3 linked regions of the Callithrix jacchus genome follow. The protein of the gene in region 1 purifies or fractionates together with the protein of each later gene. This does not show direct contact. Links are inferred from orthologs where the notes say so. Each region holds a gene or a part of one and is shown in the gene's direction. Other genes may lie near its edges. The genes, in order: RIOK1, CLNS1A and COPRS.

The links.
Region 2: the proteins of RIOK1 (region 1) and CLNS1A purify together in Homo sapiens (affinity purification with mass spectrometry; 3 studies listed by BioGRID and IntAct, with this or other methods). This does not show direct contact. The link is inferred for Callithrix jacchus from reciprocal best matches to the Homo sapiens genes RIOK1 and CLNS1A.
Region 3: the proteins of RIOK1 (region 1) and COPRS purify together in Homo sapiens (affinity purification with mass spectrometry; 3 studies listed by BioGRID and IntAct, with this or other methods). This does not show direct contact. The link is inferred for Callithrix jacchus from reciprocal best matches to the Homo sapiens genes RIOK1 and COPRS.

The regions. Positions count from the first base shown.
Region 1 is NC_133505.1:23,042,364-23,046,008, reverse strand, and holds part of RIOK1 (serine/threonine-protein kinase RIO1), read left to right. Parts: intron 1-662; coding exon 663-716; intron 717-2,000; coding exon 2,001-2,153; intron 2,154-3,645. UniProt on the Homo sapiens protein: Involved in the final steps of cytoplasmic maturation of the 40S ribosomal subunit. Involved in processing of 18S-E pre-rRNA to the mature 18S rRNA. Required for the recycling of NOB1 and PNO1 from the late 40S precursor.
Region 2 is NC_133511.1:62,961,713-62,966,037, forward strand, and holds the start of CLNS1A (methylosome subunit pICln), read left to right. Parts: upstream 1-1,416; 5' UTR 1,417-1,498; coding exon 1,499-1,623; intron 1,624-4,325. UniProt on the Homo sapiens protein: Involved in both the assembly of spliceosomal snRNPs and the methylation of Sm proteins.
Region 3 is NC_133506.1:102,328,094-102,332,203, forward strand, and holds the start of COPRS (coordinator of PRMT5 and differentiation stimulator), read left to right. Parts: upstream 1-1,197; 5' UTR 1,198-1,314; coding exon 1,315-1,413; intron 1,414-1,474; exon of another isoform or gene 1,475-1,701; coding exon of another isoform or gene 1,702-1,764; intron 1,765-2,003; exon of another isoform or gene 2,004-2,113; coding exon of another isoform or gene 2,114-2,143; intron 2,144-3,923; coding exon 3,924-3,990; intron 3,991-4,110. UniProt on the Homo sapiens protein: Histone-binding protein required for histone H4 methyltransferase activity of PRMT5.

The DNA.
Region 1 (3,645 bases):
GAAAAATTTCTTTTTGGTAATGGGCCAGATAGTAAATATTTTAGGTTTTGCAAGCCAAGAAACAAAATTGAAGTGATTACGTAGGTCCTTATGTAACAAAAGAAAAAACCCTCAATTTTTATTTGTGAAATTAGAAATACTTTAATAATAACTGAATACAGGTTTGTGTAATACAAGTATACTAGAGAAGAATGGAATTATTTGATGAGGGGCAGATAATATTTGCTTAGTTGGGTCTAAAAGTTTGTGTTTGCTATCTTCAAACTGGTTGCAAATGTTTATCTGTAAAAACTACCAGGTAGGCCAGGTGCAGTGGCTCATGCCTGTAATCCCAATACTTTGAGAGGTTAAGGTGGGTGTATCACTTGAGGTCAGGAATTTGAGAGCAACCTGGCCAACATGGTGAAACCCCATCTCTACTAAAAATACAAAAATTAGCCAACTACCAGGTGGCTGGTTGGATTTGGCCAGTACATCTGGTAGACAGAAATAGTGTCCATATTCTAAACTTCCTGTGTTACAGTGAGATTAATTTTAGATGCCTTTTTATAATCATAGGAGATAGTATTTAGCTCACATTGTTCTTAATAGTGCAATATGCATATTTCACTGTCTAGTTTTGTGTTGATTGTTTTGTTTTTTTTTTTCCTTTTGGTTACAAGATTCTATACCAAACTGTCACAGGATTGAAGAAAGATTTGTCAGGAGTTCAGAAGGTATGAAGAACATGTGTTACTGTGTGTTTATGTGAAAACACTTTTAAAGGATATAAAACTCTAGTTGTGTTATTTTTTATTTAATATCATTAGAACTACATTAATGCTATTTTGTTCAAATTTTATAATTGCTTACAAAGTCCATGGACATCTTCTGAAATGCCCTTTTTGTGTTCTTTCTAAACACAAATTGATTTATTTTTCATTCTGTCTCTGAATTGTTCTGTTGTTGCAGGTGAGATATTTATCTTTTTGTATCCTAGTTGTCATTTGTGGGGTTATTAATGGTAGCCATTGTGCTTCTTAATGGTTTTTCCAACTGGCTTAGGGAAACAGTATAGAATGTGGTCTCCTACCAGGATATTACTTGTTAAAAAACAGTGTCAGGAGTTCAGCAGTCCTGCTGTGCTGGATTCCTGTAATGTTCTTTTTTCTTAAAACAATCTTGTTTTGTTTTACATTTTAGAAGGGTAGGGATTAAGTAATTCTAACTTAGGCAGTCATAAAAGCAGTCTTTATCTTTTTAAATCTTCCTAATTGAAGACTCAAATAAAGGATCACAGTTTGCTTTCTTAAAATCAAACTGATTTGAATTTAATTCAAACCGTGGAATGAATTTTAGGGGAATTCTGGTATTTTGTATTTCTGAGTTATAATAAAAGGTGTCATAAGGAAGTTCCACTTTGGATTCTAAAGCATGAAGATTTTATTGCAGTGAGCTAGAAAATCTTGTGTACAATTGACTTCTAAAGATATGTCTTTTTTTCTTATATAAAGGAAACCCTTACTCTCTTAAGAACTACTAGGAAGCACTGTATTAGACAACTGCTAAATTTCAGGAAGTAATGAAAATTTCTCGTCTCTGAATATTGTTTTCCCTCTCAGTTGGATTAGTTTATTGCTAGAAATGTGTTCACAGGAAAACAGCTGTGAAATTATCTGTATAAATCTATATTTTTTTACCTCTGTGTGTATTTCACCTCTTTCCCAATCCCAACTAAAGGCTCCCAATTAGCTGAAAGTAGCAGAACAGCTGTGTCATTGGTCTAGGTCCCCCAGTCAAGCCCTGGTTCCTTCATTTAGGTATGTTCTTGAGCCTCACTTGGAATGGCTGCTTTCATATTTCCTTCCTGATGTTCATTCTGGCGTTTTGATGTTTCAGTACAGGATGTAAGTTTTAGCATATTATTTGTAAACCAAAAATCTGAATTCTGGCATTAACACATTTAACAACAACACATAACTAATTGGTTTAGAATAACATGGTTCTTTCATAATTTCAAGGTCCCTGCACTCCTAGAAAATCAAGTGGAGGAAAAGACTTGTTCTGATTCAGAAGATATTGGAAGCTCTGAGTGCTCTGACACAGACTCTGAAGAGCAGGGAGATCATGCTCGCCCCAAGAAACACACCACTGACCCCGACATTGATAAAAAGGTAAGCAATGAAGTACATTCCCCTTTTTTTTTTTAGAGACGGAGTCTTGCTCTGTCATCCAGGCTGGCGTGCAGTGGCACAATCTTGGCTCACTGCAACCTCTGCCCGCCCCCCAGGTTCAAGTGATTCTCCTGCCTCAGCCTCCCGAGTAGCTGGGACTATAGGTGAGCGCCTCTATATACAGCTAATTTTTGTATTTTTAGTAGAGATGAGGTTTCACCACGTTGGCCAGGATGATCTCGATCTCTTGACCTCATGATCCACCTGCCTTGGCCTCCCAAAGTGCTCGGATTACAGATGTGAACCCCCACGCCCAGCCTCCCTTTTTCTTTAGTGTGGGAGCACAGCCGCTCTCACGTTTCTTTGCTCAAGGATCTAGCTAGATCATGATGGCTGAAAACATTATTGGTAAGTACCTCTAATTACAGTTTAAATAGCTAAGTGTGAACTTGACTTTTAGTGGTAACATTATCTAGAGATTGGGCTGGCCATTGGAGCACCTTGGTCATTGCCTAAAGACAGCACACACTAAACTCAATACATTTCACATGAAGCACAAGGAGCTGACCAGGGTAAATACTGAAGAGCCATTTCAGGGAGATTTATAGTCCAGCTGATGTTTCTGGAATCTAAACGACTATATAATAGTTCCCCCACCCATGCTTTCACTTTCTTCTGTTTAAGTTCCCTGTAGTCAGCCATCGTTTGCAAATATTAAATGGATGGAAAATTCCAGAAGTAAACAATTTATAGGTTTTAAATTGCACACTGTCCTAAGTAGTGTGATGAAGTTCATGCTGTCCTCCTCTATCCTGCCTGGGATGTGAATCATCACATTGTCCAGCGTCTTCACACTGTCAACACTCCCCACTCGTTAGTCATTGAGTAGTCTTGGCTCTCAGTTCAGCTGCTGTGGTGTTGTGGTGCCTGTGTGCAAGTAACCCTTACTTTGCTTAATAAGAGCCATAAATTACAAGAGTAATGATGTTGGAATTTCAGGTATGCCTAAGGGAAGCCATAAAGTTCTTCCTTTAAGTGAAAAGGTGACCATTCTTAACAAGGAACTCACACCTGTAATCCTAGCACTTTGGGAGGCCAAGGAGGGATGATCACTCGAGACCAGTCTGAGCAACAAAGTGATACCTATCTCTGTTAAAACATTGCCGATGAGCACCTGTAGTCCCAGACACTTGGGAGGCTAAGGCAAGAGGATCCCTTGAGCCCAGAACTGATCATGCCACTGTATGCCAGCCTGGGTGACAGAGTGAGATTCTGTCTCAAATCAATAAGGAAAGGGAAAAGAATCATATGCTGAAGCTGCTGAGACCTATGGTGAGAGTCTTATCTGTGAAACTGTGAAGAAGGAAAAAGATGTTTGTGCTGGTTTTGCTCATCCCAAACTGCAAAAGTAAGAGCCATAGTATGTGATAATTGCTTGGTTAAGATGGAAAAGGCATTAAATTTGTGGCTGAAACATGTAAACAAAAACATC
Region 2 (4,325 bases), on another chromosome or scaffold:
AGCATTTTGGGAGGCTGAGGTGGGTGGATCATGAGGTCAGGAGCTCGAAACCAGCCTGGCCAACATGGCGAAACCCTATCTCTATTAAAAATACAGAAAATAGCCAGGTGTGGTGGTGGGCGCCTGTAATCTCAGCTACTCAGGAGGCTGAGGCAGGAGACTCACTTGAACCCGGGAGGCAGAGGTTGCAGTAAGCCGAGATGGCACCATTGCACTCCAGCCTGGGTGACACAGCAAGACTCTGACTCAACATAACAAAACAATAAAAAAAGAAATAAAAGGGAGGAACACAAACAATCCCTGTGAATTTTCAAAAGCCAAATTTTATAACCCCTAAAATATCACCATGTACTACCAGTTTCTTTCTGGCCTAGTCAGATGTAAGAAGGCTCTAACTGGATCCAAGCCAGTTAATAACTGGATCAAATTCGATCCTGGACCCAGTCCAATGTCTATCGCAACTTCCAAACACAGTTTGGAACAGAAGTTATCTCAAAGAAACTCACAGAGCTGGCTGGGCACTGTGGCTCATGCCTGTAATCCCAGAACTTTGGGAGGCCAAGGCGGGTGGATCACCTGAAGGTCAGGAGTTTGAGACCAGGCTGGCCAACATGGAGAAACCCCATCTCTACTAAAAATACAAAAAATTAGCCAGGCGTGGTGGCGGGTGTCTGTAATCCCAGCTACTCGGGAGGCTGAGGCAGAAGAATCGCTTGAACCCAGGAGGTGGAGGTTGCAATGAGTAGAGATTATGCCATGCCACTGCACACCAGCCTGGGCAAACAAGAGTGAAACTTCGTCTCAAAGAAAAAAAAAAAAAAAGTTGGGGGTGGCCACAAGATCACATGAGCCAGTTTATCCATCTGGTGGTGGCAGCTGATCCATCAGGTGCAAGGGCCGATCTTAGGTGCAGTTTAGGGAGGGTCAGAATCTTGAAGCCTCCAGCTGTAATTTCTAATCTAAACCATAATTTCTAAAATCTTGTAGCTAATGTGTTAGTCCTACAAAGGCAGTCCAGACCCCAAGCAAGAAGGAAATTTGTTTTGGGAAAAGGCTGTCATCATTTGTTTTAAACTTTAAACTATAAACTAAGTTCCTCTCAAAGTATGCCCAGGAATGCACAAGGACAGCTTGGAGGTTAGAAACAACATGGATTTGGATAGGTCGCTTTCAGTGTCTCAACTATAATTTTGCAATGGCGGTTTCACTGTGACAACCTTGAGGTAGAGAGTCCCACAGAACTCTCGGTTATTTGAAGCCCAGAACCTCAGAAATGGCGAGGAAGAGAGGGAGGGCCGTCCCGCGGTCAAACAACTCGGTCTTAGCCGACCTCCGACGCTTTTCCTAGAATGTCTCATCTCTATGGTTGACGGGGCTCAGGTTCCTGGCCGACTGTTGTTCTTCCGGGGTAACTTCCTTTTCCGGGGCGGGCGGCGCTGTGCGTGTATTGCTGTGCCCCAACTCCCTCAGGGCCTGTGTTGCGGGATTCCCTGCTGCTATGAGCTTCCTCAAAAGTTTCCCGCCGCCTGGGCCGGCGGAGGGGCTCCTGCGGCAGCAGCCAGACACCGAGGCTGTGCTGAACGGGAAGGGCCTTGGCACCGGTACCCTTTACATCGCTGAGAGGTAGGGTTCCTGGTCCTCAGCGCCGGCCTCCTCCTCGCTGGCGCAGGAGGTGCGAAGGAGCCAGGCGAGGGGCGACCTAGTGGGCTGTTGGGAGCGGGGGCGCGTGCCTGGGACGCCTCATGGATACCTGTACTGGGTGGAAGACTCGGTTTTTCTGGCGCTCCTCCGGAGTCTTCCATTCTGTTTTCTCCGGCCGTAATTTCCCCTCATGGGTTGTGCTGCTTTTCTTTTTGCTGTTAACTCTCCTGTTTACGGGAGGTCTGGCGCCTGCGTTGCCCTTCACGCACGGTCTCGTTTTAAGGGTCTGAAGTGTGCCTGTCTTTCGGATGAACAGATGCAGGAAGTGGTCCCTTCTGCGGGATATGTAGTTTCAGAGCAGATTGTGGAGGACTTTGAAACTTTGGATACTACACAATATAGATTTTCTTCTGTAGGTATACTAAGGAGGAACACCTCTTCACCCGACACAGACAGGGGTCATATGCAGAGGGACTAGTCTCCCGTTTTGGGGTCCTGGAAGGAATTGCCCTTTTATTTGACCACCTGGAGCACTTTTGTATTTTCACAGTCAGATAGATCCTCCTTAAATACTGTAGTTGTAGAACTGAGGTCTCTGTTTTTGACTTGTAGTCCTCTTTATTTTGAAGTATGTAATGACACATTGAATCCTTCCTGTCCTTCAGATACCTGTTGCTTCCCCTTTTGCTCCATCACTTGTCTACAGGCAGAGAAAATTCTCTACTTTTAAGTGCTCATATAATTACTTTGGGACCACTTATAAAATCCAGGATAAAATCTACCAATGTTACTGTCAACTGATAAGCTGAATTACGTTTGCGAAGTCCCTTTTGCTATGTAATATAACATAGTCACAGGCGTGACACCAGAAAGTGAAGGTCGTGGGGCCAAAATTCTGCCTCCCAGAGAATCCAGACTACAAAAACTGTAAAGAACTGTTGCTTTAAAGGGAAATTTAGGCATTGATCAAGGCTTAGGCTTCAGGCCAGTCATTGAGGTAAGACATAAGGATGGGAGGAAAAGCAAGATTGATGTGATAAGCAGATAATGAGTTTGGTCAGGACATGTGTGGAATAGTTGTACACATGAGTGTGTTTTGGGCCGGGTGTGGTGGGTCATACCGGTAATCCCACCATTTTGGGAAGCTGAGGCGAGTGGATCGCTTTAGCCCAGCAGTTTGAGATCAGCCTGGGCAACATGGTGAAACTCAGTCTCTGCAAGAACTAGCCAGGCATGGTGGTGGCCTGTAGTTCTAGCTACTCAGGAAACTGAGGTGGAAGGATCATCTGAGCCCAGGAGGTGGAGGCTGCCGTGGGCGTTATTGTGCTCTGCAGTCCAGCCTGCATAACAGTGAGACCCTGTCAAAAAAACAAAAACATATGTCTTGGGAAAGTGATATTAAAGAGAGATGTTTGGGAGTCGTTAGAGAAAGTATTAGCGTATACTCATGGAAATGGATTGGTATCCCAGAAGAGAAGAGGACCAAGTGTAGAATCCTCGGGATACACCTGTATTAAGAGGTGGGTCACAGAAGAAGAAGGGACTTGAGAAAGTAGGAAGGAGCAGTCAGAAACAAAATCTGGAGTCTATATTGAGTATTGATAAGGAAATCTTTGATAATTGGGGAAAGCAGTTTCTTATAAGTGGTGAAAGATGGGGCACAGATACATTTTTAGTTCCAGGCATTCCTTTTTTATTCATGACATTTAAGTATATTGACACTTCTTTCAATATTATAACTCCTTTTGAGGAGCAGTCCTGTATTTCTTTTTGCATTTTGAAAAATTTCAAACCTAGCTGGGCACAGTGGCTCATGCCTGTAATCCCAGCACTTTGGGAGGCTGAGGCGTGCGGATCACAAGGTCAGGAGATGGAGATCATCCTGGCTAACACAGTGAAACCCCGTCTCTAAAAAAAAAAAAAAAAAAGAAATTTCAAACCTAAGGCTGGGTGCAGTGGCTCATGCCTGTAATCCCAGCACTTTGGGAGGCTGACGGGTGGGGTGGATCACCTGAGGACAGGAGTTCAAGACCAGCCTGGCCAACATGGTGAAACCGCATCTCTACTAAAAATACAAAAATTAGCAGGGTGTGGTGGCGTGTGCCTGTAATCCCAACTACTTGGGAGGCTGAGGCAGGAGAATCGCTTGAACCCAGGAGGCAGAGGTTGCAGTGAGCCAAGATTGTGCCATTGCACTTCTTCCTGGCTGACAATGAGACTCTGTCTCAAAAAAAAAAATTTCAAATCTAATTAACATTTTGCCACATTTATGTCTCTCTCTCTTTTTTTTTTTCTGAGCCATTTGAGAATTGCAGACCTGTTTTCCATTTCCTGTATCTCAGAAGAACGGGAACATTCTCTTGTATAACCACAATACAATTCTCACACTAAGGAAGTATAACTCATTTCAAGTTTTTATCTGTTTTTAAAAAATTCTTAGGCTGGGCAAGGTGTCTCATGCCTGCAATCCCAGCACTTTGAGAGGCCAAGATGAGCAGATAGCTTGAGCCTAGGAGTTCTTGACCAGCCTGGGCAACATGGCAAAACCCCGTCTCTACAAAGAATACAAAAAAAATGCAGAAATTAGCCAGTCATGGTGGTGTGTGCCTGTAGTCCCAGGTACTCTGGGGGTGGTGAGGTGGGAGGATTACTTGAGCCTGGGAAGGTGAGGCTTCCGTGAGCTG
Region 3 (4,110 bases), on another chromosome or scaffold:
TTTAAAATAAGAAAAAAAATCCTCTTTTTCCTCTCCCTTAATTAAGTCTTTGGAAGTTTCACATTCTAAATCTTATTTGGAACTTTATTTACAAGAGAGATATGTGTTGTACAGAGTAGGGAGCAAAGAGGATAGTGGTAGTCTCCTTAACACAAGGCTATAAAGGTGGCCACCTGGTGTCATCACATCCCTATATCTGATTCTAACTATTGCAGGTTATGACAATGCATCTAGCTGGTAAACCTAGAGTTGCACTGTTAGAAAGAGTAGCTCCTATGCACATGTAGCAATTTATTACAATTACTCAGTTTATCATTCACACTGGTCACATTTCAAGTGCTCAGCAGGTATATGGTTACCATATTGGACAGCACAGATAGTATAACTTTTATTTCCACCATTAAAGAAGGTTCTACTGGACATTAATGACCTAGAGGCAGTTCGCCTTGGGGACACTGACTCCTGTGTAGGAACATCTGCATAGAGAAAAAAACATAAAATTGAACATTGTGTGTCAGTTTTATGCTAAATTTTTACAGATGCCGTTTGTACTGTACAAACAATAGTCTTTGAGGGGATGAAGGAAGAGGGTCTCTCATGTGTTGATGGAATGGGCACACTTTAAGCTGATTTGTTTGAGGTTAGGTACTGTGGGAAAGGCAGGGAAGGCTGTCTTTCCATTTGGGTTGTTCCTAGCTCAGGCCCTGCCTATCCCCAGAAGCCACCTTTCGAGGCAAAAAGGAAAATAATGAGGTTGTCGAGTATCAGGCGTTGAGCGTCAAAATACAGGAGCCCCGAATGTTAGGGTTATGAGAAGCGTCGTGGCCTGTATTCTGTGTCCACCGCACATTGTAGTTTGTGTTTTAATCATCTATCGTGGTTTCTAATGGATTAACTTCGAAGACGACATTAGCTCAAGGCAGAGGTCACTAGGTTGCTGATGTGTCTTACCCACACGAGGTTTTAAAGCTGGAGCACACCCCGAGGGGCCGCGTAGGACACGCTTGGCGTTTCGCTCCCAGCTAGTCGTCCAGCCTTAGGATCTGCACGGGGAGGTGTTACCAAAATCAGTCCGGGAGATTGTTTCACATTTCGCGCGGGAGAGGGAGGGGAGGGCTCTGTGAGGCCGCGCGCCCCGCCTCCTGCGCCGCCCCGCCCCCGTTTCCTCTTGACCCTCCCCCTGCGCCCCGCCTCCTCAGCCGGGACCCCCCCCCAACCTGATTGGCCCCTCTACGGCGGATCCTCAGGGCGGTAGCCGGGCCGGTGCGTCACGTGGGCCACGGCGTCCAGGGCGCCGACCCGTGGGCAGCCGGCATGGACCCTCAGGCCGCCGGGGCCCAGGCGCAGGGGGCCGCGGAGCCGTCTCAGGGCTCGCCGCTGCAGAGCGCGCGGGAGGCGACCCCCAGCCCGGAGGTGAGCATCGCGTGGGGGCTGGGCGCTACAGCCAGCCGCAGCCTGGGGCTGGGGGTCGCGGGGCTCACGGGCCGGGCTGGGCGGGGGCCGCCGGGCGGGGGAAGCGCCTCAGGCCGACCTCGGGCCGCCCCGCGACACCGAGCGCCGTTTGGGCTCGCGCTCGAGCTGAAAACGGCCAGGCCTAGGGGCCGCGGTGTTGCGGGACTGGGAACTCAGAGGCCGTGGGTGGGCGCGCTGGGTCGGGAGGGAGGGCTGTCCCCCCGCCGGGCTCCGCTGCAGATTTAGTAAATGGAAGGGGACGCTGGTGACCGAGAGCCGGGGCCCGCTGCCAGGAGCCTGGGCGAGGGCCAGGTGAGGGCGGTGAGGAGAGGGACTTGAGTTGACGGACCTGTGGACCTCTGTCCGTTGGTGGGAATGTCCGCTAACCCTGAGCCCCAGATGATGTCACGTGCGCGCTCTCCCTTCTCCTTACTGAAACCAAAAAGGCCCTGTTTGACGCAGGGTTTCCAGAAACTTGTTTTCATGTACGTTAGACAGCTCACGGTTTTCCCGAGACCGTTATTACAGTCATCACCTGTCCTTGTTTACAGTCAGTTCCCGACTGATGGTGAGCCGCTGGACAGTAGGAACCCTCTGTTAGGGCTGTTTGTCCAGCCTAGCATAGTGCCTGGCACAGGAGATAGACATACTGACTGGATGAATGATGCCTCAAAGATGGTACTCAGCCAAAGTAAGATATGAAAAATGCAGCGACACTTATAAAGCAAATTACTTTGGAGTGCAGAACAGAATGGGACTAATTTTGTCAGGGCACAGCAGGAAGGGATAAAGGTGAGAGGCTGGTGGTGTTTGCAGAGGCGTGGAGATGAAAAAGTGCAGGGCACATGGCTTGGAGTTGGGTCCCAGAGCATGCAGAGCACTATGTTCAACAGGTTGATGGGAGTGGGGGAGGAGGGGACGTGTGAATGCCATGGCTAATTCTGTGCTCCCTCAGTGGAGGGCTGTTGAAGGTTTTGAGCAGAGTAATGATTAATTTTGTAACGCTGGGCCAGATGACTGGATGAGAAGATGGTTAGAAGGCCGTGGCAGTGATTTAGGTGAGAGGTCTGACTTCTCCTTGGGCTGCAATGACCAGCGGTTGTCACTGACTACAGGGGGTGGAATTGAATGATTAAACACAGACATGACTACATAATGAATTCTGATTGGAGCAGGTGCCAAGTGCAGTTCAGATGTAGCAGAAAAGGTGAATTTAAATTCAAGAAATGTTACACTCTTGCTACATTCCATTTTTCATAAATGGTACCTCATCAGCCCCCTGCAGGGTTACAACAGTCATCCCCAATTTCTGGAGAAGCAAACTTAGGCATGGTAATTGAAGTGATGTGTTCAAGGCCACACTCTGAATGGGTGGCAGGGCTGTGATCAAAATCAGGTCTCTTTTTTTTGAAACGGAGTCTCTGTTGCCAGGCTGGAGTGCAATGGCATGATCTGGGCTCACTGCAACCTCCACCTCCAGGGTTCAACTGATTCCCCTGCTTCAGCCTTCTGAGTAGCTGGGACTACAGGCGTGCACCACCCCCCCTGGCTAATTTTTTTAATTTTAGTAGAGATGGGATTTCACCACCATGTTGGCCAGGATGGTCTCGATCTTATGACCTTGTGATCCACCCACCTTGGCCTCCCAATGTGCTGGGATTACAGGTGTGAGCCACTGCCCCCAGCCAGAATCAGGTCTTTTTATACAGGTGGAAATATTTTGTTTTTCTTTAGAAAGAGGTCTTGGAGGTCATAGGGTTCCAAGAACTGAGTGATGGGAGCAGAGAAGCATTTGGTTGGCTGTGTGGGAAGGTCTTCAGTTAGATTAGAAATATTGCCTTCAGTGCTCAGCATTGCAGAGGAACTAAAGCTTCCCCACCTCAATGTGTCAGTGAGGAAACAATTTGATAGAGTTGCTATAAAGTTATTAAGTAACTGAAAAGGTAAAACATGGAAATGGAGGTGGCAACTGCCGGGAACAGCTACCAACCCTGTGGCTGAAGGAACAAAGAGATGAAGTTGATTAAAATTTAAAAGCTTAGAGTAAAGGCTCTGCAGAGCTGAAATTCCAACCTTTAAGGAGGAGGCACTGCCCCAGCTGGTGTAGGGGTCTCTGAGCTTGGAGGAGGGTCCTGGGACCCAGACCTTTAAAGAAAAGGCTCAGTGTTGAGGCTGGCTCTGCAAGAGTTCTCAGAACTGTGTACCGGATTCTGTGGCTGCTATAGGAAGGCATCCCTGCCACCACAGTGAAGTGTCCTGAGGTGATGCCTACATGACTAGAAAGGAACAAGGCCCCTCTCCCTCCAGCCTTGCCCAGTTTAACAGGGCAAAGCAGAAAAGTGGGTGGCAGAGTCCCAGCCCCGCATCACCAAGGGGAGTATGGAAGAGTGGGTGAAGTTGAAAGACAATAGCTGAATACTGGGCATCTCCCAGATACCCAAGTCCTTGGTAATCATTTCTTCTTCCTGCAGGCTGACTTTGCTACAGTTGACTACTCCAGTCGGGAGAGAGAGACTGAGAAGGCTATGGATCGACTAGGCAAGTAGATGGCAGAGACAGTGGAAGTTGGGGAGACCAAGGACGTGAGGAGAGGGATAGTCCTCTGTCTCATTTACCTCCTCTTTTAGCCCGTCTTCTCTGCTGCTTAGTGGCCTTTTC